Xenopus tropicalis: one gene and its partners. The protein of the gene in region 3 interacts with the protein of the main gene of each other region in a biochemical or structural test. Links are inferred from orthologs where the notes say so. Each region holds a gene or a part of one and is shown on either strand. Other genes may lie near its edges. The genes, in order: sncaip, hipk2 and siah1.

Evidence for each region.
Region 1: the proteins of siah1 (region 3) and sncaip form a complex in vitro, tested with the Homo sapiens proteins (2 studies listed by BioGRID, with this or other methods). The link is inferred for Xenopus tropicalis from reciprocal best matches to the Homo sapiens genes SIAH1 and SNCAIP.
Region 2: of the proteins of siah1 (region 3) and hipk2, one has a biochemical effect on the other in vitro, tested with the Homo sapiens proteins (4 studies listed by BioGRID, with this or other methods). The link is inferred for Xenopus tropicalis from reciprocal best matches to the Homo sapiens genes SIAH1 and HIPK2.

Annotation. Positions count from the first base shown.
Region 1 is NC_030677.2:169,648,358-169,658,483, forward strand, and holds part of sncaip (synphilin-1), read right to left. Parts: intron 6,145-10,126; coding exon 5,312-6,144; intron 1,157-5,311; coding exon 977-1,156; intron 1-976. UniProt on the Homo sapiens protein: Isoform 2 inhibits the ubiquitin ligase activity of SIAH1 and inhibits proteasomal degradation of target proteins. Isoform 2 inhibits autoubiquitination and proteasomal degradation of SIAH1, and thereby increases cellular levels of SIAH.
Region 2 is NC_030679.2:7,972,052-7,982,717, reverse strand, and holds the start of hipk2 (homeodomain-interacting protein kinase 2), read left to right. Parts: upstream 1-5,138; 5' UTR 5,139-5,621; intron 5,622-10,666.
Region 3 is NC_030680.2:74,032,606-74,043,311, reverse strand, and holds the start of siah1 (E3 ubiquitin-protein ligase SIAH1), read right to left. Parts: upstream 6,935-10,706; 5' UTR 6,726-6,934; exon of another isoform or gene 6,585-6,725; intron 5,268-6,584; exon of another isoform or gene 5,233-5,267; intron 1,759-5,232; 5' UTR 1,690-1,758; intron 1-1,689. UniProt on the Homo sapiens protein: E3 ubiquitin-protein ligase that mediates ubiquitination and subsequent proteasomal degradation of target proteins.

The DNA of each region.
Region 1 (10,126 bases), on a different chromosome or scaffold from region 3:
TATCCTTGCCTTAAAATAACTTTACTCAGGTTGTGGCGATACATTACTTACACCAGTCACTGCCCCAGTGGAGCTTACAATCTAAGGTACCTATCACATTCACACAAGCACTATGGTCAGTTAACCTCCCTGTTTATTCTGGGGTGTGGGGGGAAGTTGGGAAACCTGGAGAAAACACACAGAAGCATGGGAAAAACATATAAATTCCTTGCAGATATTGCCCTGCCTGGCATTGAACACACTCACTAAGGTATGACAGAAGTTATTTAAAAAAAAATAAAAAACAAATGAACTTATATTTCTTAGATATCCCTTTTAATCTTCTAGCTCAAATCTTATTCTAAACAAGAAGAAAACTGGAAGTATGCCATATCTTGACATAAGCAGAAATCCCATTTGTAAATCATCATGCTAAACAGTAGATAAAAACCAGTGGGGTTGTTTACTTAAGTCTTCAAAGTGGAAAGCTTGGCACAAATCCTGTCAGTGTCTATGATATTTTATTTACGAAGTAACCTAGATCGCTGATTCTCCTCTGATTATATAACAGTGAGAAGGCGCCGTAATGTCTAATTTGCTTGAAGAATCAAATAACACCTGAACTGCTGATTTTCTCCCCCAAAATTAATACAGATGCATTTTTTTAGCTATCTCTTCACTGGTCACTCAGGTCTCATTGGATATCAACCGGGGAATCTTTAAAGTACAACTAGTAGTGTTTGTTGGATGTGGTTGAATTAACAGATCACATCCTATATGTCAGATGTAGGTACACATGGCTATTAATAAAATCTGATCTATTAACAACTAGGATTTTGCATCCAACATGACAATTGGAAGGGAATATGAAGGTTTTGTAGGATGCCACAAAATCTTGAGCTGTTGCATGATGAGTTCCTATGGGTCAATTAAAGACAAAAATCTACCGTGTCGATCTGACCTGTTTGCCAGCACAATGCGACCAAACAAGAATTACCTTTATTGCTAAGCCAGCAGGAGTAAGTTTCTCATCATTCCTTTCACTCAAGCAGTCTTCGCCCATGAGAGAAGTAAGGTGCTGCAAGCATTCGGCATGGCCCTGGGATGCGGCAATATGCAAAAGGTTGTTTCCATTTTCATCATGGATCTGATCCAAATTATCAACGGCAATGTGCGGCTGTACAAAGGAACAAAGGAAAAGCACAACTATCATTGCAGAAAAATTTATGGAAAGAATCTGTCTTTATATATGTTGTAAATTTACCATATCTGGAGCAAAAAGCCACAATAGGCAATATGTTCTAGTTTTTGCTGTATTTCTTTAGTTAAAGCTGATTTCAAGGCAAACCAAGAAAGATTTCCAGTTAAAACATCATATTTTAATAAGAGAAGGAGATGGAGCAGTGTGCTTGCCAAGATGTTCTGGCATTTAAACAGCTCTCAGTAAAATATGATGAATTCATGAACATTTCTGATGGATCTGCATTATGGCAGCCATTACCTTTGTTATAAATGTTTGTGTATAAAAGGCAAACCTGTTTGTCAGTGCTGTAAACAATGGCATAAAGGTAATGCAAAATGATGAAAAAAACATATAAAGGCATAAAACTGAGTGGGAATTCATTGCTGCTAAATTAAGTTTTACAATCTTTGGTCAATAATGCACAGAGTCAACCTATATAATAGTTCCCAAGCTGATACCTGTGTCAGGTAGAATGTTATTTATGCAAGAATGAAAGAGAGAAGACGCTACTGTGACTCAAAGATTTATAAAAATACAAACCATCGTTCAAACCAAAGAATACATGAAGAATGCAGAAACAAAATGGCATCTCTGAATTCCTCCCCACCTGTCAAGGGATAATAATGGTGGTTGTAGCTGAACAGCCAGAGGACCACAGGTTGGACCTTCCTTCAAACAGTATATTTAATAATATAATATACGTAAATGTATATGGCAGCATGGTACAGCTTTTCTAATTAAGATACACATTTAGAATGGCTGAGGTGCCTGGTGATATACCCAATAAAACAACACATTGTGTTCCTGTAGATAGCACAGACATGTCAAATAGCCAGCACCATTAGCATCTGCAGACAGCCGTTGCCAATCTCTTTCTGGAAAGCTGACAGGTTGGCTTGCCTTCTGTCTGTCTCCCTTTTATCACTTATTACTTAGTACAACATCTGCAGCCCACACCACTAGTAGACTCAGCTATATAATAATTACAGGAAGGCAGGCTGAGTGCCTAGTTGGGACACTGTCCAGTCAGAATAAACTCTCATTATTCCAAGAATACTGTTAATGATATTTCCAACAATGACTTACTATTCTAGACTGTAATTATCCATAAAGAGGTTAGGTACAGAATGATTCCACCAATGCTCACAGTAGAGGGCTAAATTGGCTTATAGGTAAGGTACAAATACTTTCCACAGCATTACTTACAGATGCAGGAAATCATAGAGTGGTGCCCCCAAAATTCTAATTTTTCCTTTTAATGAATGATTTTTGTTTTTGTCAGTCTTTTATTTTTTCTTGGCAGAATACCCCTCGAACCAAACATTTAATTAGGAAAATTTGCTGTACCACAAGAACTTCATATTTACTTAAAATAATATGCCCTCCCTCACAACTTTTATTTTAGCTAAGAACAATGTGTTGCTAAGAGTATATTTTGATTCCATACTAAGAATTATATGCCTTGCCCCAGATTTTTATTATAGCTGAGAAAAATATATCATATAGTTGCTCCTATACCTTTATCTGGGCTTACCTGTATTTTAAATGAGCATAAGATACCTTTCCCCTAGACTTGTATTTTAGCTAAAAATAATATGTCTTTCCCCCAGGACATTTATTTCTGCTGAGTACAATATGTCTTGCCCTGAGACTTTTACTTTTTGCTTAAAATAACATGCCTTGGCCCCAGGGACTTTAATATATTTGGTGATAGATGATATTTAAGTTTTTTTGGAGAATAATGAAATTTCAAGAACCAAACTACCATCTATCAGCACAGATTTAGAAGTCTCTGGAGAACAAAGACTAACATTACCTTCTTAAAGCCTAAATAAAAGCCCAATTCCCAACAGCTGCTCAGTATGTAAGTATGTATAACTTTATTTAAAGAGTGCTTTTAGGATACTAGTATTTTATGATTATGGTAATTCTGAAGAGCAAGTGTCCAACCTACCACTTGCACAAAATAACTACTTTGATAGATATCTTTTGATAAAACCCCTTTCTATTAATCTTGTTGCAAGATGGTCCTTTTTTGCCAACGCCATGTATTCTACACCATGTGGGACGTGAAGCGTTAAACATGGTACTATAAAGTTCAACATTATGATTCTTCAAAAGAATCTCCATTCAAGTGGAAATCTGGTAACATTATTTTGAGCTGACTGTGTCAGGTTTTTATAGTTATTCATTTTGGACTATAATGTGTTTCACCAAGTGCTAAAATCCCTTGGAAGGTTTCACTACTATCGTTTCAAAGCTATATTCCAGACAGTTGCACAAATTAACAAATTAAACTTATAGTGAATTTCCCTGAATACTATATAATCTTATGAGTGCCGGAGGGTTCAACAGCACATCTGTCATCAGAATCAACGCACATAAATTTTATTTATAGCAGTCAAGAAATTACATTTGTCAACTGATTCAGTGCAGGTGTCTTTGTGTTTTTTGTAAATCATGGAAAAGTCTTTAAACTTGAGATGTGATTTCATTTATTTCACTTATGTATATATATACATATATATATATACATACACAGGTATGGGATCAATTAGCTGGAAAACCCATTATTCAGAAAGTTCAAAATTACGGGAAGGCCATCTCCCATAGACTCCATTTTAATCAAATAATTAAAAATGTTAAAAATGATTCCCTTTTCTCTGTAATAATAAAACAGTACCTTGTACTTAATCCCAACTAAGACATAATTTATCCTTATTGAAGGCAAAACAATCCTATCTGCATAACAGGTCCCATACCTGCATGTATATGTATATTTACACACAAGAGTTATGAATAATCTATAAAATGTTATTATAAACAGGGATTAACGAAGTCATCAGCTCTGCTTTGTGCTTTGTGATGTCACATGACAAACTAAAATGTGCAGTTTCATATATAAAAGCACTCGGCTTGTGGCCTTGATCTTCTATGTGGTGTTGGAATTCCTCAATGATTTACAACAGGGGGTACGGTATTCCCTCTATAATGTATTTGCAGTATAGTCTAGGAAATGGCTTGCTCTTCTCTGATTGCATGACTTGCCATGCCCTAATGGAGATTCATTGCAGGAATTGCCCAAGTACCTTTTTAATTGTTGCATACCAGTAGAAAATGACACACAGTAAAATTAATTGGACATGTATCTAAAGGCACAAAGAATGAATAGCCTAGGTCCCATTGTATAAACAATGCCATTATATACATGAAATCAATTATATTTTGTTAACAAACTTTGCACTAATGGAAAAGACCACAAAATTAAGCAAAAACCAACACAAACTTACATAAAATGCCTGGTGCCATCCAGCAGGTAATACATATTTTCCTAATTAACTCCAACCTGGCGAGCATTTATAGTAATTGTGGTTAGAGTAACAGAGAGGCCCAACATATAACCGTACACGTTAGGTATAACTGTCAGCAAAGAGTAAGCCAGAATAAGGCTACAGGTTTAGAATGTGCACTAGAAATGCATGTTATTTTGTAATGTAAAAGACCAGGCTGCATGAATTGCTTCATGTTTTTAAGCTATTATTTGTCACTTGGTAACCAATAATAATGGCTCCTAATTAGCAAAGCTTTGACTAGCAAAACACTTTGCATGGGTCGGGGGATATTTATCTTTATGCTCAGCCTCTGCCTGTGAAGTCTGTGCTGTGAAGTGCTGGCAAAAAAGTTCCTCCGAATACTAATTGAAGGACAAGAGGCAGGCCGGTGTTCCCACGGTGAGCAATGACAAGCAGCTGATGGCAGCCAGGCTTCCTTGCATTGATAATGAAAGCTATTTCAAAGCTGACACAGTGTAAACATATTGAAAAATAAATAAATAACTCAATTAATCATGACGAAAATTTGTTGGTTCTTGCGGAAATGAGCTACAACATATGCATCAAATTATACCCAACTACTCCTCCCTGTTTCCCCTCTTTGTCACCTACACATATATACATACATATATATAGATTCAGTTCCCATTAAAGTGTTTGTGTTTTGTTTGCAAACAGTCTGCAGATTGCAGTCTTTGCTACATAAAATTCTTCTGCCTCCTCAAAAACAAACATTAAAGAAAAAGTTTTGACTCACCAGCAAAGATATTTGGCCTTCTTTAACAATGTTTATTATGCTTTTTATTTTCTTCATATCTTCACTTCTTTCCTCAGAAAAGTTCCAGTTGAGATTACCATTTATTCCATCCAGTTGTGTGTCGGTAGCTGCTCCCTGCAGATGGAAAGCCCTGAGCTGGCAGTTTGGCATATTCTTTTCAAGTTTCTGTGCATGGGAATCCGACAAAGTCCTGTTAAGAAAGCCCTTGTTCTGGTATTCAGGTTCATGGACTGAGCCACTTTGAATACCAGACTGAGAAAGCTCTAATCCCCCAGATGAATGCCTGTTCTGATCAAGGACAGAGGGCTGGGCAGGGTTTTTAACAGGGGATAGCACACAAAATTGTGCACCGTTTGATGATAAATTTTCTACGTTTCCAATAGTCCCAGTTTTTCCTTTGACCAATGGGTATATATTTGAAGTCCTTTTCTCAGCTGCAACCTTAGTAAATAGACTGAGCTGTTGGCTGGATTTGATGTAAGGCACGTCCAAAATCTCATCCATGTCCAAGTCATAATGTTCAATTTCACCAAGCAAAACACTTGCTTCAATACTCTTAGTTTTATAGCCCCCATCATCAGCAGGAATGTTCTCTGTGGTGCTGGACTTATCTGGATCACCATTCTTTTGGTTTTCCTCTTTTTCTTCTTTTTGGTCATCACTTTCATTGATCTGAGGGCTCTCTGGCTGATGTTTTAGTGGGGAAACTCTTTTCACTGGTCTGAATTTACTATAGACATCTGCAATTCCTGTTGGCTTCTGTGTGTTTCCAATAAGAGTTGACACTCCACAGCTCCAATTTGTGCTGGAAACTAAAATATCATGAAAACAAATCATTATTTAGGAAGGCTTTCAAAAGACATTCACATTAAATGAACCAAAAAAATATATGTGTGAAGTTTCTTTCTTTATAGACAAACATTTTAGGACATTTCCCTTCAAATTATTTATGGGGTACATTGTAATTATGTCAAATCATTGGGCCTGGATAAAATATTCTAAATAGACATCACAACTCAACTATACACCTTTTGAAGTGAAATACAAGAGAAAAATGGGGGAAACTCTAGTGGGGGTCATTTTTTAAACTCTGGGCAGTTACTTCCAATCAGAAGTCTGCCTTAATTGTTACGCAGCTGGCTGGTAAAACATAATCACTGGTTTCTGCAGGTTCCTGTCCAGGTGTAAATTCACCCAGTGTTTATAAATGAGCCCTGAATCTTCTCTGCTACCATAGGACATTACAGAAGATGGCTTAACCTATAGGTAATACTGCAACTAACCATTTTCTATTCTTTCTTATTCCAAAAATATCTGCCATTGTAACCCTACTCTGAATTTTGTAAAGCAAAAATAAATAAATATATATATATATTCTCACTCCTTTTCGACACTGAATGTTTTTTAGGCAAAAGAAAGGAAGAGGAAATATACACATACGACCAGTCTGTATGTGCACTCCGCAATAAACAGTATTTTTTACACGAGCAAAACGTTTTGTATGCATTTCCTCTTCCTTTCTTTTGCCTATTGCTATATGCACTTAGCCAGGTGCACCAACGGATAACGGACTGAGTTTACTACGGGGAACTGTGAGTGTATTTTTGTTTACTGAATGTTTTTTAGACACTGTGGTTGTTGTATTTGTCACTTTGAAAAAGGCTAGAGTGCTAGCCGAATTGTTAGTCTCCCCCACAATAAGTGTATAAGTCCTGTGAGTACGGATCCTTTACATTAGAAAGTCGGCACTCACGATAAAGTAAATCAGACAACCTGGGTGCAGTCCATACAAATCATTGAGACCAATATCATCCTACGAGGAATCAGCACTCACAGGACTTATGTGCAAAAAAAATTTTTTTTTGTTCTCCAAATAAAAATCTTTTTTTGCACATAAGTCGTGTGAGTGTGGATTCCTTGTCGGATTATTTTGGTCTATATATATATATATATATATATATATATATATATATATAGGACAATATGTGAGCTAAAACTATAAAAATGTAATTGTAAGTGACAGTATTTTCTACTACCCTTCTTATGGCTGCTGAACCAGGCCTGTTCCTGTTCTTCTATGGTAAATAAACTTATGGGCAGCTTTAGGCATCAACTCAATATTCTTAGAGAGTACAAAAATGTTTGTGATTTTTTTTAAGGGTGGGTCCTGTATGAAAAATAAACAAAACTATGCCTTGTTCTGCTGGAATAAAATGTGTTTTGTTTCTGGTGGAAATTTGATACTAGGGGTATTTAGTCTTTCAAGCTAGGAAAAATGTAGGGATACAGCAACTTTTACAATGGCTTGTATGAAAAGCCTATGCAGGGCAATCAGAACAATTGCTTTATTTAATAATGTGATGTTTTAGAAGGAATTTACTAAAAGTAAAGTAATGATTTCCAACAAATTAGCCAACAAGTAAGTATAGAATTATCATGCTAAAACTTTGGAGACAAATTACTTTTTAAGAGTATCTAAAAGTCTGTGAATTTAATCCTGCTGATAAGGAATCCCAAATATCATATATATTGATAAATATATGCTATAAACAGTAAAAGTAATTACATTTTAAAGCCAATTAATATTTATGAGGCAAACTAGATAAATTCAAATTGCTCCTATAGTTTATGAGAAAATATCATGGAGCATGTCAAGTTGTTTTGAACTCTGTGATCTTCCCTGCACAAATTTAGGGCAGCATGCCGCCCAAGCCACAGTGAAACAAACAGAGCAATGGAGACCGGACACACAGAAACGTCAGCATGTCCTCTCCCCACTGCTCCGTATGTGAGCTAAGTGGGTGCACATGCGCGGAAAGGAAGAAGGAGGTGGGTGGGCGTAGAAAGGAGGTGGTCATGGGGGTGCCCAGTTATCAAATCTGGCCCCGGACACAGCTAGAAAAATGTTTAAGTGTATGGGCAGATTGTCAGCCTGCGTTTATCTGCAAGCTGACAATTCACCTATGTGACCCTACCCTAAAAGATTTAATTAAAGAGACAGCATGCACCCCTTTTCAACATGATCTAATGAATAGGGTTTGTGCTGAACATAGTTGTTGGCTGCTGTTTTAATAACAAAATACCTATAGTTTGCATTATTTCTAGCACTTCTGATCCTGTAGGGCATAACAGGAGCTGATAAAACTTATTAATAGTCCACCAAGAGTCCCTAAGGCTAGGAAGGGGTTTGTTCTGAATAAATTAACCTGTTTATAAAGTTTTAAATCAGTACTTTAGAGTTGACAAAAAAAAAATAGGAAAATAAGTTGTTTTTTTAAATTAAAACTATAATTAGAATGTCATTTCAACACAATGCCTACTTATTATGGTCATTTTTAGCAAATGTGTTCACAACAGCTTCACTATTTCTCTTTTGTTTGTACAATGTATCCTCCTACTTCGGTGATGCACAGGCTGAAACAGGTGGTTGCAGTTTGCAGTCACATTGGTGATATAACGGCAAAGACAAGTTAACAACTTCTAAATGATGGGTTCCTGCCTAACGAACTAATGACCTTAAAAGGATTTACTGAGGCTGTTCTTGTACATTTCTTTCCTTTTATTAGTCAAAAGGATCTCTGATTTCTTGACTACCCAAACTTACAGAATGTAAGCTGATGTAAAAAAAAATTGAGAAATCTTGGCGTTTTAGTAAATCTGCCCCTGCGACTATATAAACGCATGCAAAAAATTTCAAGGTGCATCATTTTGTTACTTTTTTAAAGATTTAAACACCTGGAAAAAGTAGAAAAAATTCTTCGCAATTGGAGCACCATACTATTGGACTTTTCTGCCAAAGTAGATTTTTCTTCATTATTAGAAAAACCAAATAGAGCCAAATCAAAAAGTCATTTGGTTTCAAGCACTGAATAGCCAAAAGCAACACATCTCTTTAGATGATACAAACTTCTGAGGATTTTGCTTAAAGTTGAATAAGCAAATTAGGGCTTGGATTCAGTTTGGTATTTGGCTGGATCTTTTTGCCAAGGATTCAGTATTTATTCAGTGCATCCCTATATAATATAAAAATGAAAACCTAGGTAACAAAAATACTAGAACACAGCATAGAAATAAGGTATTATTTATAAATATAGAAAGATAAGCTTAATTATTAAAGATCAAATAGAGAATCCCACAGGTTTCATTCAAGGTTCCTATCCATTAATCTTGTAGTCATCTTAATGAAGCCAATTCAATTATACTATCAGATTGAATCAATTTAAACTCTCACACCCCACATAAGGATCGGCTGGGAAGATGAAATACTAGCAGGGTAGTTGTGTGAGGTATGTAGCTACGTGATGAAAACTAATTAGTCAAAGCAACATGAATAAATGGATATCGGCATAAACAGGTTTTATCTAAGGCAGAATGGTAATAAATCATAGGACTACACTGCACTTTATTATTTCTATTGATTTCACACGTTTCTACAATATGTTTACAGTTGGATTTCCTTTTGTAGATGACATAATCATTCTCAGGAAACAAAGTTGCTTTACCCCCCTCTGTGCCATAGAATGTAGAATCTATAGTGCTCAAATAAAGGGGCCGTAGTGCTGTAGATTTGACATTTCTGCTCTTTGAACTATGCTGCGCACTTGTTTACTTGGCAACTTGCAACACAGATTAAAGGTCTGGCTGCTGGCACAGACAGAGTTAAAGTTTAGACCTCATTTTATTATTGGTGTGTTACATGATAAATAGTTTGTGTGTATTTGTATGTGATATTTTAATGTCAGGGTGTGAGTCAGACTCCATATTTCATTTTCCAAACTGGAGAGCGCGTTCACT
Region 2 (10,666 bases), on a different chromosome or scaffold from region 3:
GCCATTAGTAATCATGGGGGCCATACTAATCACACATACAATAGGATTACACTTAATACACCTTATAGTGTTTCTGCCCCAGACTCACCTGTACAGGTAAGGGGAAGTTAGACTGGAGAATGGAACAAAAAGAAGAGAAGGGAAGGGAAGTTATGGTGAATAGGATAGAGAAGAAGAAACTAGAGAGGGGGTTGGGGGAATCAGCAATAAATGCACCCAGCAATCCTATAACATGGATGGGGTGAGGTCCAGAAATACAGTTTCTGGGGCTTAGATATAAAACACTATGGGCCGGTCCGAACACCCACTGCACCCTTGTTTTCTCCCTATCATTTCCCTAAAATGTGTCCCATAATGTTTCCAATATGGACCAAGAGAGGCTGCACAATGCAGTGGGGGGGGGACAAGTACTGGTCTGGTTTTTAACCATCAAACTCCTTTGTACAAATCCCGCCATAGGCATCTATTCACTTGTAGATCCCAGCATTCTCAGCCAGCCAGGCCAGCAAGTCTGACACTCTGTTCCTGATTATCCATTCTGCATTCCTGGGTCAGCAGCTGAGGGGAACCACCTATGGAAAGTGGGACTAATGGATGGGGGGCACCTATTATTATTATTTATACCATACTATTTTCAGCTTTACGGCAGTGTTTTGTCAGGGTAGGAATGGGCCGGCGGGACACCTGGAAAAAGCCTGGTGGGCTCTGCTAACTCAGCCCCGATCCCCACCATTGGTGTTCCCCTCTGCATATCCCTCCCCTGATCGCCCCTAGGTAAGTATGAGGGTGGTGCAGATGGTGGGGGCCTCTGGGGTGGCATCCCTGTAGGGCCCTGTACACCCCAGTCCGACCTTGCATACAGTACATGGGTGTATAACATGGAAACATACATCAAGTGTACAAATATACCAATGATAGAGGACCCTGTTATAAAGAGCTAACAATCTAATACAACATTAGCTGCAATGCCTCCCCCCCCCCAAAAAAAAAACACTCCCATATTCCTGCTGTATCCTGTTAAAATAATAACTGCCAAGGTTCTGGCACTGCCCGGGCTCAGCATAACTCTGTATTAATGATTAAACCCAAATCCAAGAATCTGAAGTCACAAGGACTCTGCAGGTATTTGGCAACACAGGGAAGTACATTTGCTTTTTTTTCCCACCAATGTCTGACCCGAGGTGCCTATTCTGCCTTCCCTTAGTTGCCATATAGATCTATGGCTCATGTCACATGGAATGGAACAATGCTGGGGTAGAAGCAGTGCATCAGGCTCCCTGCAAACTGATTGGCCGCACTGCAGTCTCAAATGGGGCACTAGGAGGCAGAATGAGCTATTTCACCCCTGGCAGAGACATTACATTACATTAACATTTATTTATAAAGCGCCAACATATTCCGCAGCGCTGTACAATAAGTGGGTTACATACATTGGACATACAGAGTAACATATAAAGCAATCAGTAACCGATACAAGAGGTGAAGAGGGCCCTGCCCAAAAGAGCTTACAATCTACAAGACACCATCCTGGTTGGCATTAGCTTATGGTGCAAATATTAAAGCCCTGATGGGAACCAGGGTCGGACTGGGGGGTGCCCAGGGGCCCTGCTGGTGCCCCCGCAGGCCGCGTACCCTAACTCCACCCCCCCGCAGGGGCCCCCCACCAATGTCCTCCCCTGAGCTCACGTAAATTTAACGCGTCAGGGGAGGAATGGTCAGGCAGAGGGAGCGCCGGCAAGGGTTGGGTCTGGGCCGCCCAGTCTGACCCTGATGGGAACTGTCCTTTATTGGGGTCCCCTATGACAGGGGCCTTCCTAAAGATCCTATGGTATTTTCTAACTAATAGTCAACAAAGTCTATATTCCCCCTACCCAACACTGGGGGGCGCTAGTTGGGTTTTGCATATAAACCCAGTGCCTTATTGTAAGGAGCTGGGACAGGTCAGCGCCCCACACTGGGCACCACAAGAACTGAACTTTCTCCATAGTCAAGAGGTGATTATAAGATCCCCAATCCTTACTCACCTACATCGGCCCCTGGGGACCCTACCAATGAAAATGCCTTGAAGGGTCAGGGCCCTCTCACCCCCACAGGCAAATGCTCTGCTCCAGTCCTAAAGCCCTCCAACTGGGACCTACTGGGCTAAATGCTATCAAAAATGTCTGTAGCACCCCCAAACTAGGAAATAGAAATGGTAAAAGGGGTATATTTCTGGTGAGAGAATATTCCATGGCAGCGGTGGTGGTGGTGGGGGGGGGGGGGTGTAGGAATATCAGGAAGAGGCAGCAGTAATTACAGGTGTAGTGTTACACAGAACTCAAGCCAAATTAATCTCCTTGCTGTCAGCCTCACCAACAGGCCTGACTGCCACATTAACCCTTGCTGCATTGCAGGGCGGCGTCTAAAAGGTTAAAAGGCCAGGACTGTTTTAAGCTGTTATGTTCCTATTGGCTAAAACCTACCCAAACTGGTCTCTAGGTTCACACCCCATGGCGGTGGTAACAATTCGGGGGTATGGGAGGGAGCCAAGGGAGACAAAAAACTGGTTGCCTTAGTTACTGGTGAGAATTTGGGGGCAAATGACAATAAGGGATATCCATAATGAAGGACACCATACTACTGGGTGCTGCTGTCAATGGGTTAAACTGGTGTAATATGTGGTGCACTTGCCCTTTATTTAATCAGTGTTTTGTTACAGATTGAATTTTTAATACAATGGGGATCAACAGTGCCCCCCCCCCAGTGATGCCAGTACAAGGGGGAGCAGGCAATGCCTCCGTGTGCTTTATTATTCAATTATCAATTAATCGGGGCCCTAAGGGCATAGGTTTTCTAATTAACTTTCTGGGACATCTATGGGCCCCATCCCAACTCCATAGGGATCTATAAGGTGCCAGTAACACTCTATACCAGAACCCTGATTCTCTTTAGTGTTATGTAGTAACCCCCACATATCATTCTATTTTCTTTTTATAAAATATGAAAAATATTTATATTATTAAACAATAAATATGAAAGCCAATTATGTATAAATATAACTGGTATTATGACACAGTCAAACAACAGTTTCACTATAAAGCAGTAGTTAATGGGGGGGCAGGGTAAAATATACTGAATAAATCAGGGGTGTACAACCTGTGGCTGTTAATGAGCAGCCCCCCCAGTATGCCTTGTAGCCTGTGGGTGGGATGTTGAGGGTTAAAGAGCAGCCCTTATAGGATATACACAATATAACAGTATCATTTTCCCTTTGTTCTGTGTTTTTCCTTTCCATGAAGCCCAGGACTAATAGTCTTGTAGAGTGTAAGCTCTTTTGGGCAGGGCTCTCTTCACCTCTTTTATCGGTTATTGATTGCTTTATATGTTACTCCTTGTAGAGTGTAAGCTCTTTTGGGCAGGGCTCTCTTCACCTCTTGTATCGGTTATTGATTGCTTTATATGTAAAGGTGGCCATACACAGGCCGATTGTAGCTGCCGACAGGGCCAGAACTAGGGGTAGGCAGAAGAGGCAGCTGCCTAGGGCGCAATGATTGGGGGGCACAACGATTGGGGGGCGCAACGATTGGGAGGTGCAACGATTGGGGGCGCAACGATTGGGGGGCGCAAGGCGGGAGCCTCTTCTGCCTACCCCTAGTCCGTGCTCCTTTGTCATTGCCCCCGCCACTTGTAAATACGTGGTGGGGGCAATGACCCATGGCACCCCCCTGGGTTGCCTAGGGCAACTGGTCGGCCACGCCCGCCCCTGGCTGCCAATATGGGTCCCTTAGACCGATTCGGCAGTTAATCGGCCCGTGTAGGGGCACTACCTACGGGCCTGCCTGACCGATATCTGGCCTGAAATCGGGCAGATATCAATCGTGCAGTTTCAAAAATTTAGTCGGATCGGGGACTGCAGCGACTCATTGATGCGCTCCCCGATCCGACTTCGCCTATTACTGGCACTCTAATTCGATTGTTTGCCCCCAGGTCCAAACGACCGAATTAGCCTGGATTCGCCCGATATCACCCACCTGTAGGTGGGGATATCTGAAGAAGATCCGCTTGCTTGCTAACATCGCCAAGCTTAAAGGTCCCCATACACGGGCCGATTGTAGCTGCCGATATGGGTCCCTAAAGGTGGCCATACACGAGCAGATCCGCTCGCTTGGCGATGTCGCCAAGCGAGCGGATCTTCCCCCGATATCCCCACCTACGGGTGGGCGATATCGGGGAGCATTTAGGTAAAAAAAAAAATAATCCAATCGTTTGGCCCTGGGGCCAAACGATCGGATTATGTGGGCGGCAATGGGGCAGTCGGATCAGGGACCGCATCAACGAGCTGATGCGGTCCCCGATCCGACCGGATTTTCTAACCTGGCCGATCGAGATCTGGCCAATTTCAGGCCAGATATCGGTCGGCCAGGCCGCTCTGCCCTGCCCATACACGGGCCGATTAGCTGCCGAATCGGTCCAAGGGACCCATATCGGCAGCTATAGTCGGCCCGTGTATGGCCACCTTTAGACCGACTCGGCAGCTTATCTGCCTGTGTAGGGGCACTAACGACTGGCCTGCCCGACCGATATCTGGCCTGAAATCAGACATATATCGATCCGGCAGCTTAAATAATTTAGTCGGATGTGGTCCCCGATTCGACTTTTTCTATACCCGTCGTTCTGTTTCGATTAGAACCGAATTAGCCTAGATTCGCCCGATTTTGCCCACCTGTAGTACACTTATTGTACAGCGCTGCGGAATAGGTTGGCGCTTTATAAATAAACGTTAATAATAATAATGCAGTCTTGGGCCTACCCCCCAGCCCCAAGAGCTTGCACTTCATAAAACCTACCCAGGGAGCTGGATAATGACTGGGGAGATGACCTCTTTCAATACCCACCCCCAATACAAACACAGCAAGGCTGCCTCCCCCCCCCCCTCTCCCATTGCACCAAGCTCCTTTGTGACTCCATGAAGGGTTAATAGGATCCCCCCCTCCCCCCCTTTTACTCCTGATTGAAATGTGTTGGTTAAACAGAAATCCCACACAGCCTCTCCAGCAGAGGAGAAGAGGAGAAGGGGAGGGGGGAGACACTTTGAGAAAGTACAGCCTCTCCCCGCCCCCCCCCCCCTCCCCATTGGAATCCATGCGATCGGCGCTCGATTGCTCCGCGAAGGCAGGAGAAAGAGACACACAGAGAAGGGATCGCACCCCCCCCCCCCTCTGCCTTTTTCTCTTTCCTAAATGCAACTTTCCGTGCAGCTCGCTGGGAGGCTGGGTGCGGGGGCTCCCTGCATGGGGGTGCGGACTGAGGGGAACACAGGGGGCTGGAAGGCTGCCCGGGGGGGCTTCTAATAGCTGCCAGCAGGGGGGCTGCGTTGATTAGAAACAATATCTGCATTTACCCCCCCCCCCCCCCGCTCACCTTCCAGGGCAGGCCACTGGCGTTCCCGGTGCTTATTGGGGTGCAGCGGGTAAGATGGGGGAGCAGCCGGACCTGCAGCGGCTCTGACTGACTGATCAATGCGGGAGGCGGACGGGAGCCGGCAGGGTCACAAGCTTGTCCCCCTATTCTCTGTGGGGGGAGCCCCAAAGCGCGTCCAGAGAGGCCCCCGGTATGGCAGCGGTGGAGAGACCCAGACTGCGGTAAGGAACAGCTGAGGGTGATTTTCTAATTCCAACCCCCCCCCCTTCCCAACATTGGGAGCCCCCCGTGTTTATCATTTCCACACCCTGCCCCCCCATCTGCAAATGGACCCTTCCATACTTACCCCTGCCCTGCATTGTGTCTGCCCCTAGAACCCCCTCTGTACCCTTGCCCCCCTATTGCCCATATGGAATATCCTGCACCCCCTCTTCCCCTAGAACCCACTCTGTATCCTTGCCCCCCTATTGCCCATATGGAATATCCTGCACCCCCTCTTCCCCTAGAACCCACTCTGTATCCTTGCCCCCCCTATTGCCCATATGGAATATACTGCACCCCCTCTTCCCCTAGAACCCACTCTGTATCCTTGCCCCCCTATTGCCCATATGGAATATACTGCACCCCCTCTTCCCCTAGAACCCACTCTGTATCCTTGCCCCCCCTATTGCCCATATGGAATATCCTGCACCCCCTCTTCTAGAACCCACTCTGTATCCTTGCCCCCCTATTGCCCATATGGAATATCCTGCACCCCCTCTTCCCCTAGAACCCCCTCTGTATCCTTGCCCCCCTATTGCCCATATGGAATATCCTGCACCCCCTCTTCTAGAACCCACTCTGTATCCTTGCCCCCCCTATTGCCCATATGGAATATCCTGCACCCCCTCTTCTAGAACCCACTCTGTATCCTTGCCCCCCTATTGCCCATATGGAATATCCTGCACCCCCTCTTCCCCTAGAACCCACTCTGTATCCTTGCTCCCCTATTGCCCATTTGAAATATCCAGCACCCCCTCTTCCTCTAAAACCCACTCTGTATCCTTGCTCCCCTATTGCCCTATGGAATATCCTGCACCCCCTCTTCTTCTAGAACGCACTCTATATCATTGCCCAGACGGAATATGCTGCACCCCCTCTTCTCCTAGAGCCCACTCTATATCATTGCCCATTTGGAATATCCAGCACCCCCTCTTCCTCTAGAACCCACTCTGTGTCATTGCCACCCTATTTCCAATATGGAATATCCTGCACCCCCTCATCTCCTAGAACCAACTCTGTATCCTTGCTCCCCTATTGCCCATATGGAATATCCTGCTCCCCCTCTTCTAGAACCCACTCTATATCATTGCCCCCCTATTTCCAATATGGAATATCCTGCACCCCCTCTTCTCTACCTCACCTCAACACCAAATTCTCACCTCTATTATATATATATTGTTATTATACGGGATATGTTGTATATATTCCTCTGTCTCTACTTATACACCCACAGGGGCTGCCTGTAAATAATGGGTGTGATAGGGCGAGGGGTTAAAAATCTAAACTGAACTTGAGTTTTTTTTCTCCTTGGTTCTGTAGGAAGGATGGGGGGGGGGGGGGCTGCCATTGTTTTATTATCTTAGTTTGGCCTTGAAAAAACTAGTGTGTGTGTATATAGGTAAATATATATATATATATATATATATGTATGTGTGTGTGTGTGTGTGTATATATATATATCTCTATCCCCAGCGCCTCCCTCTGTGGCTCTGCAAGGGTGTAGAATGAATTCTCATTAACTCCTTGACTCCCAGCAAGGCACAATACAGAGGAATCGCTTGCCCTTGCCTTGTTACATATTCACATAGAAACTGCCCAGGATCTATTTCGAGAGACTGTTACTCGGGATAAAGTTCTTATATAACAGGGAAGGGTTATTTATTAACTGCTTTTTATGGAAGTGCCATAAAGCGATCCCTCCCCGTGTGACAGGCCACTGGGCACAATGTCGGGGCTGTTTTAGAACATACCCTTCTTTAGTACATTACAGCGCTTAAGCAAAAAATAAAACCCCATATCCCCGTTTAACATGTTCAACGCCGTACGGGTTTCTGCTGCAGTGGCTGCACAATTCTGCGGCTTTGCGGTCTGCGTCAGTCCGACTGCAGCGAGAAGCAGAGACAAAAGATTATATTATTATATAAAAAAGCCTGCACCAGCGGATCCCACAGCCCAGTGCTCTGTCTGGGTGGTTTTAGAGGAAGATTTTGACTTCATAGAATTCCTGATTGGGTGCCCCCTGCTGGCAGTGAGGAGGAACCCACCCCCCCAACCAGGGAGCCCTGATTTATTTCCGACGAGCGCCCAAATCTGAATTATTATCAATATCATGAAATGACTGTTCCATTTGTAAAGCTTAACAGCATCAGCTCCCCTAGCTTTGGGGCCCAGGCAGAACCCCATTATTTTATAAAACAAATTCCGGACCTGAGTTGATGCACAATTCCCAGCGCCCCTGGGAACAGCGGGGTTTCAGGAACAGATGGGGCTGCAGTTTTGAAAGCTGTAGGATTGAGTGTTGCAACCCCAAACCGTGGGCAACGCTGCAGTTACCCCTACTAGTATTACAGAAGCTGCCATGCCATTAACTTGGGGCTGCCGTACATGCTGCTGTGCTATTTTGGCCCCTGCCACTGTTGGCGCTAAAGTGCTGTTTTCTCTGCTGCCATTGTAGGGGGTAATGCAGTATTATTTTTTCTATCACCCCCACTTTCACTATAGGTACTACTATACTATTATCCCCAATACTACTGTCATTTGCCCCCTACTGCTGTAATCTGCCCCCTACCACTATAGGCACTGCTGGGCTATTATCCCCAATGCTGCTGTCATCTGCCCCCTACCACTGTAGGCACTGCTGGGCTATTATCCCCAATGCTGCTGTCATCTGCCCCCTACCACTGTAGGCACTGCTATACTATTATCCCCAATGCTACTGTCATCTGCCCCCTACCACTATAGGCACTGCTATACTATTATCCCCAATGCTACTGTCATCTGCCCCCTACTACTATAGGCACTGCTATACAACTATCCCCAATGCTACTGTCATTTGCCCCCTACTTCTGTCATCTGCCCCCTACCACTACAGGCACTGTTATACTATTATCCCCAATGCTACTGTCATTTGCCCCCTACTTCTGTCATCTGCCCCCTACCACTACAGGCACTGCTATACAACTATCCCCAATGCTACTGTCATTTGCCCCATACTTCTGTCATCTGCCCCCTACCACTACAGGCACTGTTATACTATTATCCCCAGTGCTACTGTCATTTGCCCCCTACCACTATAGGCACTGCTATAATATTATCCCCAATGCTACTGTCATTTGCCCCCTACCACTATAGGCACTGCTATACTATTATCCCCAGTGCTACTGTCATTTGCCCCCTACCACTACAGGCACTGCTATACTATTATCCCCAATGCTACTGTCATTTGCCCCCTACTACTATAGGCACTGCTATACTATTATCCCCAGTGCTACTGTCATTTGCCCCCTACTACTATAGGCACTGCTATACTATTATCCCCAGTGCTACTGTCATTTGCCCCCTACTACTATAGGCACTGCTATACTATTATCCCCAGTGCTACTGTCATTTGCCCCCTACTACTATAGGCACTGCTATACTATTATCCCCAGTGCTACTGTCATTTGCCCCCTACTACTATAGCCTCTGCTATACTATTATCCCCAATGCTACTGTCATCTGCCCCCTACTACTATAGATACTGCTATGCTGTTATCCTCAATGGGCACTGCTGCATTATTATTACTACTGCCACTATAAGTGCTACTAACCCTCTGCCACTGCTGTACATCAGTAATGACTCTCTGGGGTGCATTGGCAGTCCTTATATATCTATATATAAATATATAGATAAGCAAAAAAAGAATTACATATTTATTTGCCTTGAGTGCAGAACTTTTTTGTGCTTATTTCTTTATTTTTTTGAACCAGGGCAGATGATTTTTACTGTGTGTGTGTGTATATATATATATATATATATATATATATATATATATATATATATATATATATATATATATATATATATAATGTGTATATAGAGTGAGAGATAATTCTGTAGTTCTACTGAGCAACATTATTTTCTATATCTTCATGGATAATATTATGGGCCCAATTTATAAAGATTGAATTTAGAAAAACATTCATTTTTTGGTTCAACTGTTCCTATTACCTCTATTTTAACTATTTACAAAAATATAATCGGTCTCTAGCAGCTCCCACTAGGTATCAGAATAGCTCTCAATAGTAAGAAATCCAAGTCCGGCTTGGGACTCCTCCAGTTACATGGGAGTAGGGGAAACAATAGGTTAGCTGAAAGCAGTTCTAATGTGTAGCGCTGGCTCCTTCTGAAAGCTCAGACTCAGGCACACTTTACTGCTGCGCTGCAAGTTGGAGTGATATCCCCCTCCCCTCACCCCCAGCAGCCGATCAGCAGAACAATGGGAAGGGAGCAAGATAGCAGCTCCCAGTAGGTATCAGAATAGCACTCAATAGTAAGAAATCCAAGTCCGGCTTGGGACTCCTCCAGTTACATGGGAGTAGGAGAAACAATAGGTTAGCTGAAAGCAGTTCTAATGTGTAGTGCTGGCTCCTTCAACAATTTTAGTCCAAGGAAATATCTTATCCATGAAATTCTTCATTTTCAATCATATTTACAGAACAGTTCCGAGTTCGACTCTTGTTCATAGACTTTTTTTGAACACCGTTTCAGTTCTGTAGACCTAGCAAAAAAGAAGTATTTCCCGTGAAAATTGACGGAATGTAAAAGACAAGAGAATTTTTTCCCAGGCACAATTTCTAATACATTTTTCTAGAGCAACCCTTTTTGATAGACTTTTTGACCAGCATACAGGTATGGGACCCTTTGTCTAGAATGCTTCGGACCTGGGGCTTTCTGGATAAAGGATCTTTACGCTATACAGGTACTATTTTATTATTACAGAGAAAAGGGAATCATTTAACCATTAAATAAACCCAATAGGGCTGTTCTGCCCCCAATAAGGGGTAATTATATCTTAGTTGGGATCAAGTACAGGTACTGTTTTATTATTACAGAGAAAGGGAATCATTTAACCATTAAATAAACCCAATAGGGCTGTTCTGCCCCCAATAAGGGGTAATTATATCTTAGTTGGGATCAAGTACAGGTACTGTTTTATTATTACAGAGAAAAGGGAATCATTTA
Region 3 (10,706 bases):
AGCTGAATTACAACAATTCTGCAAAGATGAGTGGGCCAAAATTCCTCCAGAGCGCTGTAAAAGACTTGTTGCAAGTTATCGCAAACGCTTGATTGCAGTTATTGCTGCTAAGGGTGGCCCAACCAGTTATTAGGTTCAAGGGGCAATTACTTTTTCACACAGGGCCATGTAGGTTTGGATTTTTTTTCTCCCTAAATAATAAAAACCCTCATTTAAAAACTGCATTTTGTGTTTACTTGTGTTATCTTTGACTAATAGTTAAATGTGTTTGATGATCAGAAACATTTTGTGTGACAAACATGCAAAAGAATAAGAAATCAGGAAGGGGGCAAATAGTTTTTCACACCACTGTATACACTATATCATTCAATGTGGGGGCTAAACAATCAGAAGCTAATGTTACAGCATCAGAATATTTGCTAATTTCAAGTGGGATACCAACCACAGAGTGAAAAGTGTGGCCATATCTATAATAATTCACTTTTTTGGCAGGATTACCAAACAAATGAATATTTCTCCCGAAACCGGGCTAATTAGATAGTTAGGGCCAAAGACTGATGTAAAAAATGACGGGAATAAGAGCCGTCAGAACGAGGAATGCATCAACGAACCAATGTAGCCCTCGACCCCAAAGTGACCCTCGAATGGCAAAAGCAAGCCTGCTCCATTGCCATCTGGCTGATTCTTTGCCAGATATCAGTCAGGGAGGCCTGTCAGAGGGCCCCATACACAGGCAGATAAGATGCCAAATTGGTCTGAAAGACCCAAATCAGCAGCTTATATCTCCCCAGGTATGGCAACCTTAACTAGATACAATATCTCTAAGGCAAACAACAAATTTCCTATTTCTACACTGTATTATGTAACAATAAAGCAAACAATATAAGCCCTTTAACAATTTTATTTCAGAATCCCTAAAAATAAAACGCGTGGGATGGCAACCCTATACACAACCGCACCACATTACAACAAATTAAACTATCAAATTATGGCCAGGCACATGGTAAAAAACTGCTTGTAAAATAAGGGTTTCCATTTGTACCATTTAATCTACATGGGTGGAGATTACTCATTTTGTTCAAACCCATACTAGGAGCTATGCAGATTATTACATATTGGTGATTACCCAACAATGCAATAAACATAGTAAACCAGCTGCACACTTTGTAGTACTGGTAGCAGGAAGCGTGCTCTGCATTAACTTGGTGTATGATAGTGAATTATTGAGGTTACTGCTAAAACATTACCATTACCAGGAAGAGCACAGAGCAAAACAAAAAAGTAGTGGTTATGAGCACCAGTTCAAATAGCTGTTCCTCCTAAAATGTGCTGTCCCTTGATGGCAACTGGGCATATAAATGTTTTATACCATAATGAGCAGCAACTTTGATATCCAATAAAAATTATGTCACTGATGGTACTGCAATGTTGTGTGTTGTTACAATGTTCCATGTATATATGCATACATACATATACACACACACACACAGTGTAAATTAGACAAAAGCAATTCCAAGAAAGTGGAAACACCATAATATAAAAAGTACCTCTGCATCCATTAAAACTAAAATTTTCTTTATATTATAAGCTTTTGAAAGTTATTCGTGCCACTAGCATAAAAGCATTACTGTTCTAAAATCTATCTCATTTTTTTTCCACATATTTTTTTCCATGTTTCATTCGCCCTACCTCTATTTTACACTGGATTTCTTGTCCTGTGCACTCCGTTCTTCCTGAAGGCAACATCCAACCCACAAACTATACCAAAAAGAGAAAAAAATGGCACATAAGGAAAATGTTATATTTTATGGGTAAACAGGTCTAAATATAATTGACATTGGATACTGCTTAAAAAAACCAAGAGAATACATAATTGCTTTACAATGACTATATTATTTTAGTCAACATCAACAAATAAAACTCAATAAAACATAATACTAATTTAAAATGTACACAAATATTTTTATCATGGATTCTAACATATTGGATTAAACAGTTTTTTTAGTTGGAACACTGCAAAAAGTTGAGTTGCATATCATTTAAACCCTATATTGCATTGCAAGTAGTACAAAGACAACATATCGTGAAACCAAGGAGTGTTGCTGAAAAGCAAATTCTCATTTTGAATTTAATGCCATTAACATGTTTTTAAGAAAATTGAGACAGAGGCAACAAAAGACAGGGTGTAAGGCCAAAAAGAGCAGATCCCAGAGAGGCTGGGCCACTTAAGGTCCCCATACACGGGCCGATTCTAGCTGTCAATATCGGTCCCTTAGACCGATTCGGCAGCTAATCGGCCCATGTATAGGCACTAACGACGGGCCTGCCCGACCGATATCTGGCCTGAAATACTAAATGCAAGTAAAAACTCTACCATGCATCTGTACCATCCAGCAAGACATTCTGATAAATAAGAATTTGAAATTCTTTTTGGAAATCATGGATGCCATCACGGAAATTAAGGGCCATCCTCATTGTTATCAGAGCACAGTTCAAATGTAATGGTACCAGAAGGGGCATCAGTTCCTACACAATATGTTGTTTCTGTACTATTTTCAATTGAATATAGGATATAAACAATTTGCAAATCATCCCATTCTCTTTTAAATTTATGTTTTACACAGTGTTCCAGTGCTTTTTGTTTTACACACTCCCGCAACCGATTTGCTTAATAAAGGTAAGGCAAAATCTGAACTGATGCACAGACAAAAAGAAATAAAACCAATCAAGATATACAGTAAATTATAAAGCTGGGCCATAAACATAATAAACATACATATAATAAGGCAGGGATCCCCAAACTTTTTTACTTGTGAGACTTGCTTAGACGTAAAAGTGTTGGCGAGTCATAAAAGCATTAAAAAAAAGGTCCTTGATGATGCAAAATAAGGGCTGTGATTGGCTACTTGATAGCTCCATGTGCACTGCTGCCACAGCAGGAGGCTCTGATTGGAGTAAAAATGTCTCTCTGTGCTTCCAAACTTATCTCCAAGCTAAAAAATTACAAATGGGCACCTGTTTTTAAGACACTGGGACAACATGTCACAAACCATTGGTTGGGGACTGTTGCAATAAGGTAAACTTTTACTATTTTCAAAGCATCACTCATCATGGAAACCCCTCCAGCAGCAACTGTGAAAAGCTATCATGTAATCCTATAATATAATAATGGGATTGTGGATGAAAAAACAGATTATCTTGGACAAACAATGGCACATGGAGTGGACATTAGTGACCCATAGTCTTTACTCTTTCTGGTGGCTGCTTATAAGATTCCAAGCAAACCCCCTTACAACATAAAATTCTATCTTCAAGGGGATTTAAACTTAACATAAAACCAGTCTAATATCTGCATAAACTGGGAATCACAAACTTAATTGCAGTTACAAGTAAGTGCTTCTATGAGGATCCTGAATGCCAATACTAGATAAGTCACACTGCTGTTGTCTAGCACAGGCAGAACTATTACTGGTTAGGGTCCCTGCTAGAAACAATGTGGCCAATGCCTCCAACATCATTTACACCTTCAAGGTGCCCATACAAAGGGCAGATATTGGCTGCATCAATATACACTTATATACATACATATGTTCATTTTTTTTTTTTTTTAAAAGGTATATGTGTGTGTATATATTTTGTAGTTTTAAGCTGTGCTACCACCCCCCTATCCCCCCTTTGGAATCTGGAGTTTGCTTTTTTAAGATAGAATGGTCTCTGTAGGGCTAAGGGCTCTGGCACACGGGGGGAGATTAGTCGCCCGCGATTAACTCCCTGTTCGCGGGCGACTAATCTCCCCGAGTTGCCTACCCCTGCCATCCCACCGGCGAACATGTAAGTCGCCGGCGGGATGGCACATGCGGCGGAGCGATTTCGCGCGAATCGCCCCGCCGCGTCTGCCATCCCGCCGGCGACTTGCCATCAGAAACTTTGGGGCCCCACATGAACACAAGCATACAGTACCAACATTTTATCCAAGCCCCATGCGTGTGCAATGTAAACAGCTGATGTTACCCTATAATAAACAGTTCACATAAGGCTAATGCCACACGTTGCGTATTCTCAGCAAGCCGAAAAACGCTTGCCCTACGCTTGCCCTACGCTTGCCCTTCCTTGTGCCTGCACCAAAAAGCATTGAATACGCTCAGGTGCAGGCACACGTTGAGTATTTCTACCTAAAACTGTGTTTATTTCAGAAGTGGATCCGCTCCCTTATGCACCTCAGTAAAACTGCATTGACAAGTGCAGCTTCCGCCTCTGCCCAGCTACACAAAGTAGAGCAGAGTAAGAATTGATCTGAAAATGCGAAACCAGAAAAAAAAAAAACTCAGGCTAAGAGCAGGAGAGGAAACACTCTGTGTACCCTCAGCCTAAAACATGGCCAGCCCTTTCCAACTTTACATATAAGGAGCTCTTTATTAAACAACCTTCTTCCTTTTAAGAGATTAACAAAAACAATATATAATCTTAAGTAAAACTAGGAATGCACTGAATTGGCTACTTTTAGCAGTCTGGCCAAAATTAATCTGGTGGAGAAAATTTGCCTTGTACACGAAGCGTGCACACCGGTGTTTCCAACTTCATCTTTGGGAACTTCCAGGTTTGGGTGAATCCATACCCAAGAATTAAGGGATTCGGACGAATACCAAATTGCTAATTTCCATGCATCCCTATACAAAACACTAGGCAAATAGTTAATACAAACTCACTGTAAACAAAATGGAAAAGGGCACCAGAAGAGAAATACATTTGAGAATTAATATTGATTATTCATAGTTCTGGAGTTTTCCAGGTTAAGGGGTGTTTTATCACTATGAGGCACCATGGCCTTATGTTTAAAACACTTTAAACATTAAATAACTAATAGAATTGATTTCCAACATGGATTTATGCTAGCTTAAAATCAAGTAACAGTTATAGTCTTATTGCAGAGGAAAGGCAAATCCATCAAAAGTGAGTAACCGTCTGCTTGAGGAGGAAACTGTGTAATGTCAACGCTTTTAGAATAATGGGTATCCAAAAAATAGATCCCTTACCTCAACACAACTTCCTACCCACCAGCTCTAAGAAATGTATTGCTTTTTGTAGCTTCTAAGCTCTAAAGCAAAAAATATTTTCAATACAGCATTAAAAAAAAAAAATGTGTTAGCAGCACCATTTTGCATCTCATCTTTATCACTTAATCTTTAAAATGAGCTGCATAAGGAAGAAGAGATATACAATAAAGGTGCGTACCCTAATGAAGCATGTATCCGAGTGCTGTTGAACAGACAATCTAAAAACAGAGGATTAATTCATTAAGCCACAAATGTTGCATCATTTATAGTAATTAAGCAGCATCACAAACAGTAAACAGAACAATCACCTATAAATGAAATCATTTGTGCTTCCTCAGTTACAACAACTCCAAGGCTATGACCGGATGCATCACACTTAGCGGCTGCACTGATAACTCTTGCTATCGAAAGAGAGGGTATAACCACTCAACAACTGAAATGTTTGTAAAGAAAAATTCCTTTACATCGCAAGAACTCAACATGAATACCGCTGTTTTCGACATGTGGGCAGGAGTACTAGGATACTGTGCATTAGGTACATCATCATCATCTCTTACACTTAAATCCGTGCTATTCCCAGGATGCAACTCTCATTGGATGTTTTGGAAATCATGTGTTTATGAAAAATAATTAATTATGAGAAAGAAATTAAGGGTGTCCGCTTAAACCCCTCCTCTAGTTGTTAAACCATAATAAGCAACAAGGAAATAATGTAAATAGGTGTACAACTCCAGCCAAATGTTGGGAATTGTAGTACAAGAGCTGGGGGGGGGGGGATTCATAAATGCCAGGATTCACAACACAGCAACTATCACATGTCACTACATCCACAAAAAAAGCATTGTCTGCAACAAGAAGCAGCACCCCCTTGATTTGTACAATTGAACGGAAGGCAGCTATAGTGCGAGTGATTTCTCTCTGGGGGGGGGGGGGGGGAATTAGGACACAGATCAGGAAAGGGGGAGGGGAAAACACACAGGAGGGATTAGGCCACAGGCCTTGGTTTGGCAACAAGACAATAACACTAGAAGCAACAATACAGGCTGCTACATAGGCAGGGACAATGACCGGGGTTAACAAATGGCTGATGATGCGGTTAGGGTGTGTTGATTATTTACATTAGCCAGACAGAGCTGCCAGATTGCCACTTCAACACCGAACACCCATAAGGTGCAAGTGCAGCAGGGCTGATGATGCAATGTGGGAGTATTTGACAGAAGGAAAGAAAGAGCAGAAACCCACAGCAATGGGGCTGCCATGTCATACCATTATAAGCAGACACCCATATAATCCTTTTGCCAACATTATTTGCATAAAAAGCCACAAAACAAATAGAGAAAGGTCGGGGTCTGCAGCAGCCAGCCACTTTCTCTGTATGCAAACATATGTCATAGCCACACGTGTAGGAAACATCCATTAACCCTTCCCCCACATACACAGCAATATGGGCTCCCCCACCCCCTCCTCCTGCCGTGCATTATCCCATGGGCGCCTGAGAGACAGGATTTATACACAGCGTCGGAGTCCAACCTGCGGCCCTCCAAATGTAGCTCTACCATAACTCCCAGCATCCCCGATCTGCATGGTACGACAAAAGCCGAAGGGCCGTGGCTTAGCTATCCTGGCTCCCGATGCAGTGTTGCCATCTCATAGAACACGGGCCGCGCTCACCTTCCCCAGGAGGGAATCCGCTTTGCTATTATGCCGCTTCCTGTTCGGCTTCCACTGTGACGCACCAATTATCGCACTCACAGGATACCGGAAGATAGGTCACAAAATCCTTTATCGCCGGTAAGACGGCTCCTTTACCGGGTCTGCTTCCCACTCCTTATCTCTGTGGAGCTGCCGCCGTCCCCCGTACTCCGAGTGCGCGCACCCCCCCTACTTCCACAGAAAGACACTGCAGAGGGAGCGAGCGTGCGCGGGCACAAAGAGTGGCGTCACTGCTCCCGCGCTAACACGGCGCGCTCCCGCCACGGATTAGGCTGCCCTCAGATGGTCGAGCAGAAAGCCACGCCCTCTTGCGTATACCACGCCTACCAACAATTTGCACGGGTAAATGGCAATTGTTTGCTTGTTCTGCTGTAAGAATCTATATACTCTCTCGGTCGTCGTTAGCAGATGCCTGCCAACCTTACTGCTTTATGGAACAAATGAACCATTGAAGGGACTTTCGATTCATTATTTTAAGTTAACTCTTAGCGTAACGCAAAAATAATAAAAAAAAACGGGACTGAATTAGTATCGTGTAATACATTTTTAAGGGTATTTCAATAAGGTGCAACATTTGGTCGGGGCCTTAATCAAAGCCACGTTTCCAGTAATATCTAAGACAGTAAGCCAGTGACTACTTAAAATCCCACCCTAACTGATCTCAAGGAATTATTAGAAGAGCAAAAAGACATCTGTCCCAGTTGGGCCCTAACTGGCCCTCAGGCCCTGCTCACTAGGGAAGCCCCATAGTTATAATATGGAGTTGACATCACTGACCATGTTTTTGCAATCAATGGTCTTAATGTATGTCTTGTGTATCTCTCTCTCTCTCTCTCTCTCTCTCTCTATATATATATATATAGATAGATATACATATAATATATTGCAAAAATAACATCCTTTTAGGAAAAAATGTTTTTTAGGTCGCCTGAAGAAGTGCCGGGTTAAAAGAGCACAAAACGCACCAGCACGTTGTACGTCTCACATGCACATGTGCCAAAAATATTAAGCAGTCTAAAAAAAATGGTATTCTGAGTGCCAGAGGCATGATGGAGAAAGGTGTTCATAATGTCAACAATATGGAATCAACATTATTCTGTTAGAGTAAATAAAAGAATAGTCCAAGACAAATTAGTATTTACAAGCAGCAAGCACACTGGTTCCTAGGAAATTGAAAAAACCCTCCACCAATGAAATGGGAATGGATACAATCAATAGAAGAAACAAGGAAAATGAAATTTACCCCAATAATGTCATAAACATATAAGATAATTGGGAAATTTGGTTCCCGTTGTTGCCAAATTTCATATGATTCAAAACTAACTAGACGAGGAGTGTGTATACAAAAATCAGCAACAATTTTACTTCAGTGGAGCATCCCCATGTAATATATTGCAAGATTTTAAACCTATGATAGAAAAGAGAATACCATTTAATAGCTACTGCTTCCTTTGTATTTGGCCTATTTGACAAAGTGCTATTATGTTGGAGCTTTCCTTTGGTTTGAAGGTATAACCATATATCTATATACTTTGAGTATATAACATAGTGAAAATTAAATTAATGTACCATGACTATATACAGTAGATATAAAAAGTCTACACACCCCTGGTAAAATGTCAGGTTCCTGCACTGTACAAAAATGAGACAAAGATAAATCATTTCAGAACTTTTTCCACCTTTAATGTGACCTATAAACTGTAACACTCAATTGAAAAACAAACTGAAATTTTTTAGGTGGAGGGAAGAAAACCAAAAAAACTTAAATAATGTGGTTGCATATAAGTGTGCACACCCTCTTCTAACTGGGGATGTAGCTGTGTTCAGAATTAAGCAATCACATTCAACATCATGTTAAATAGGAGTCAGTATACACCTGCCATGATCTAAAGTGCCTCTCATTAACCCAAAATAAAGTTCAGCTGCTCTAGTTTGTCTTTCCTGACATTTTTTTAGTCGCATCCCACAGCAAAAGCCATGGTCCACAGAGAGCTTCCAAAGCATCAGAGGGATCTCATTGTTAAAAGATATCAGTCAGGAGAAGGGTACAAAAGAATTTCCAAGGCATTAGATATACCATGGAACACAGTGAAGACAGTCATCATCAAGTGGAGAAAATATGGCACAACAGTGACATTAACAAGAACTGGACGTCCCTCCAAAATGGTCAGGGAGGCTACCAAGAGGCCTACAGTAACATTAAAGGAGCTGCAGGACTGGCAAGTACTGGCTGTGTGGTACATGTGACAACAATCTCCTGTATTCTTCTTATGTCTGGGCTATGGGGTAGAGTGGCAAGACGAAAGCCTTTTCTTACAAGGGAATGGCTTCACCGGAAGAAGATTAAAGTTTTGGAATGGCCCAGCCAGAGCCCAGACCTGAATCCGATTGAAAATCTGTGGGGTGATCTGAAGAGGGCTGTGCACAGGAGATGCGCTCGCAATCTGACAGATTTGAAGAGTGGGCAAATCTTGCAAAGTCAAAATGTGCCATGCTGATAGACTCATACCCAAAAAGACTGAGTGCTGTAATAAAATCAAAACGTGCTTCAACGAAGTATTAGTTTAAGGGTGTGCACACTTATGCAACCACATTATTTTAGTTTTTTTGGTTTTCTTCCCTCCACCTAAAAGATTTCAGTTTGTTTTTCAATTGAGTGGTACAGTTTATAGGTCACATTAAAGGTGGAAAAAGGTCTGAAATGATTTAACTTTCCATGATTTTTGTACAGCGCAGGAACCTGACATTTTATCAGGGGTGTGTAGATTTTTAATATCCACTGTATGCTTCCCTCCCACAGAACTGCTCCTGCATTAAGTGCAATAGTGCTTCAGCACTAGGCCATGCAGCCCCCCAGACACACTCTGGGGGGCTGCGTACTAAAAGTAGTACAAGCCAGTACAGGGGGGCCTGCTGAGAAAACTTTTAGGTAAGGTGCAGGCATGGAAGTGGGTTGCGGTAGCCCTTCTGCTTACTGAGCTTCTGGTCCCGGGGACCAGAGACTTAGCTGTTGAAAAGTTAAAGGACAAAAGGTAAAAACTAAGTAAGCTGTATCAGAAAGGTCTATGTAAATACAGCCATAAGCACTCACAGAAAAGTTACACTGAGTCCTCTATCAAAAGAAACACAGATTACCTGTCTCATTTTTTTGTAAACATGTTCTTCAGTATCAGATTTCCTCTCTGTTAGGGCTCCTTTAGGTTTGGGGCACAAACCTGTGCAGTTCTCGCCTCTCTCCCTCTCCCCCTCCCTTCTCCTGCTCCCCCTCCCATAATAATTCATAATAACTCACTCCCCCCTCCCTTAGGAATGTGTGATCTGAGCTACAGTTAGAGCTGCAGCAGGAAGCTACAAAGACCAAGCTAAAATGGCAGTTACTATCTTAAACGGAAGGAGCTATTAGGGCTCTTTACTCAGGTATGGTAAAGCTTTCTGCAGAAAATATATAGAGTCCTAGGTGGCACTAATGTGGCTAACCTATAGGCAGTAAAATGCCAAAATGCCTTTCCATCTTCTCTCTGTCTCCTTTTAAATGTGGTTCTCTACTCATGAACCATTTTCCATCATATTTTCATGTTGCACCAATACTGATTAGTGTATTTTATCTAATGTTTCTTAGGCAGGCCCTAGATATTGAGCTTATTTTGGTGGGCCTTAGGAAGCTCAGTCCAACAGTGCTTTATTACATACAACATCCAGTCTTCAAAAAACTTAAACAGGTTAATTGCAATGCCTTAAAAAATAAAGCAAGCTCTGTATACTGTAGCATTTGAAACTGTGGTTGTTCTGTTTTACTAAAACTATCCAGTTTTTTACATTCCTGGACTGTTATACAGTAACGGTGTTTTTCTTTTCCCAATTCTTATGGAACTGGAAACAGTTTTACTGCATAATAAAGGGCCATCTAAAAGCACAGATATATAGAATTCAACTATGAAT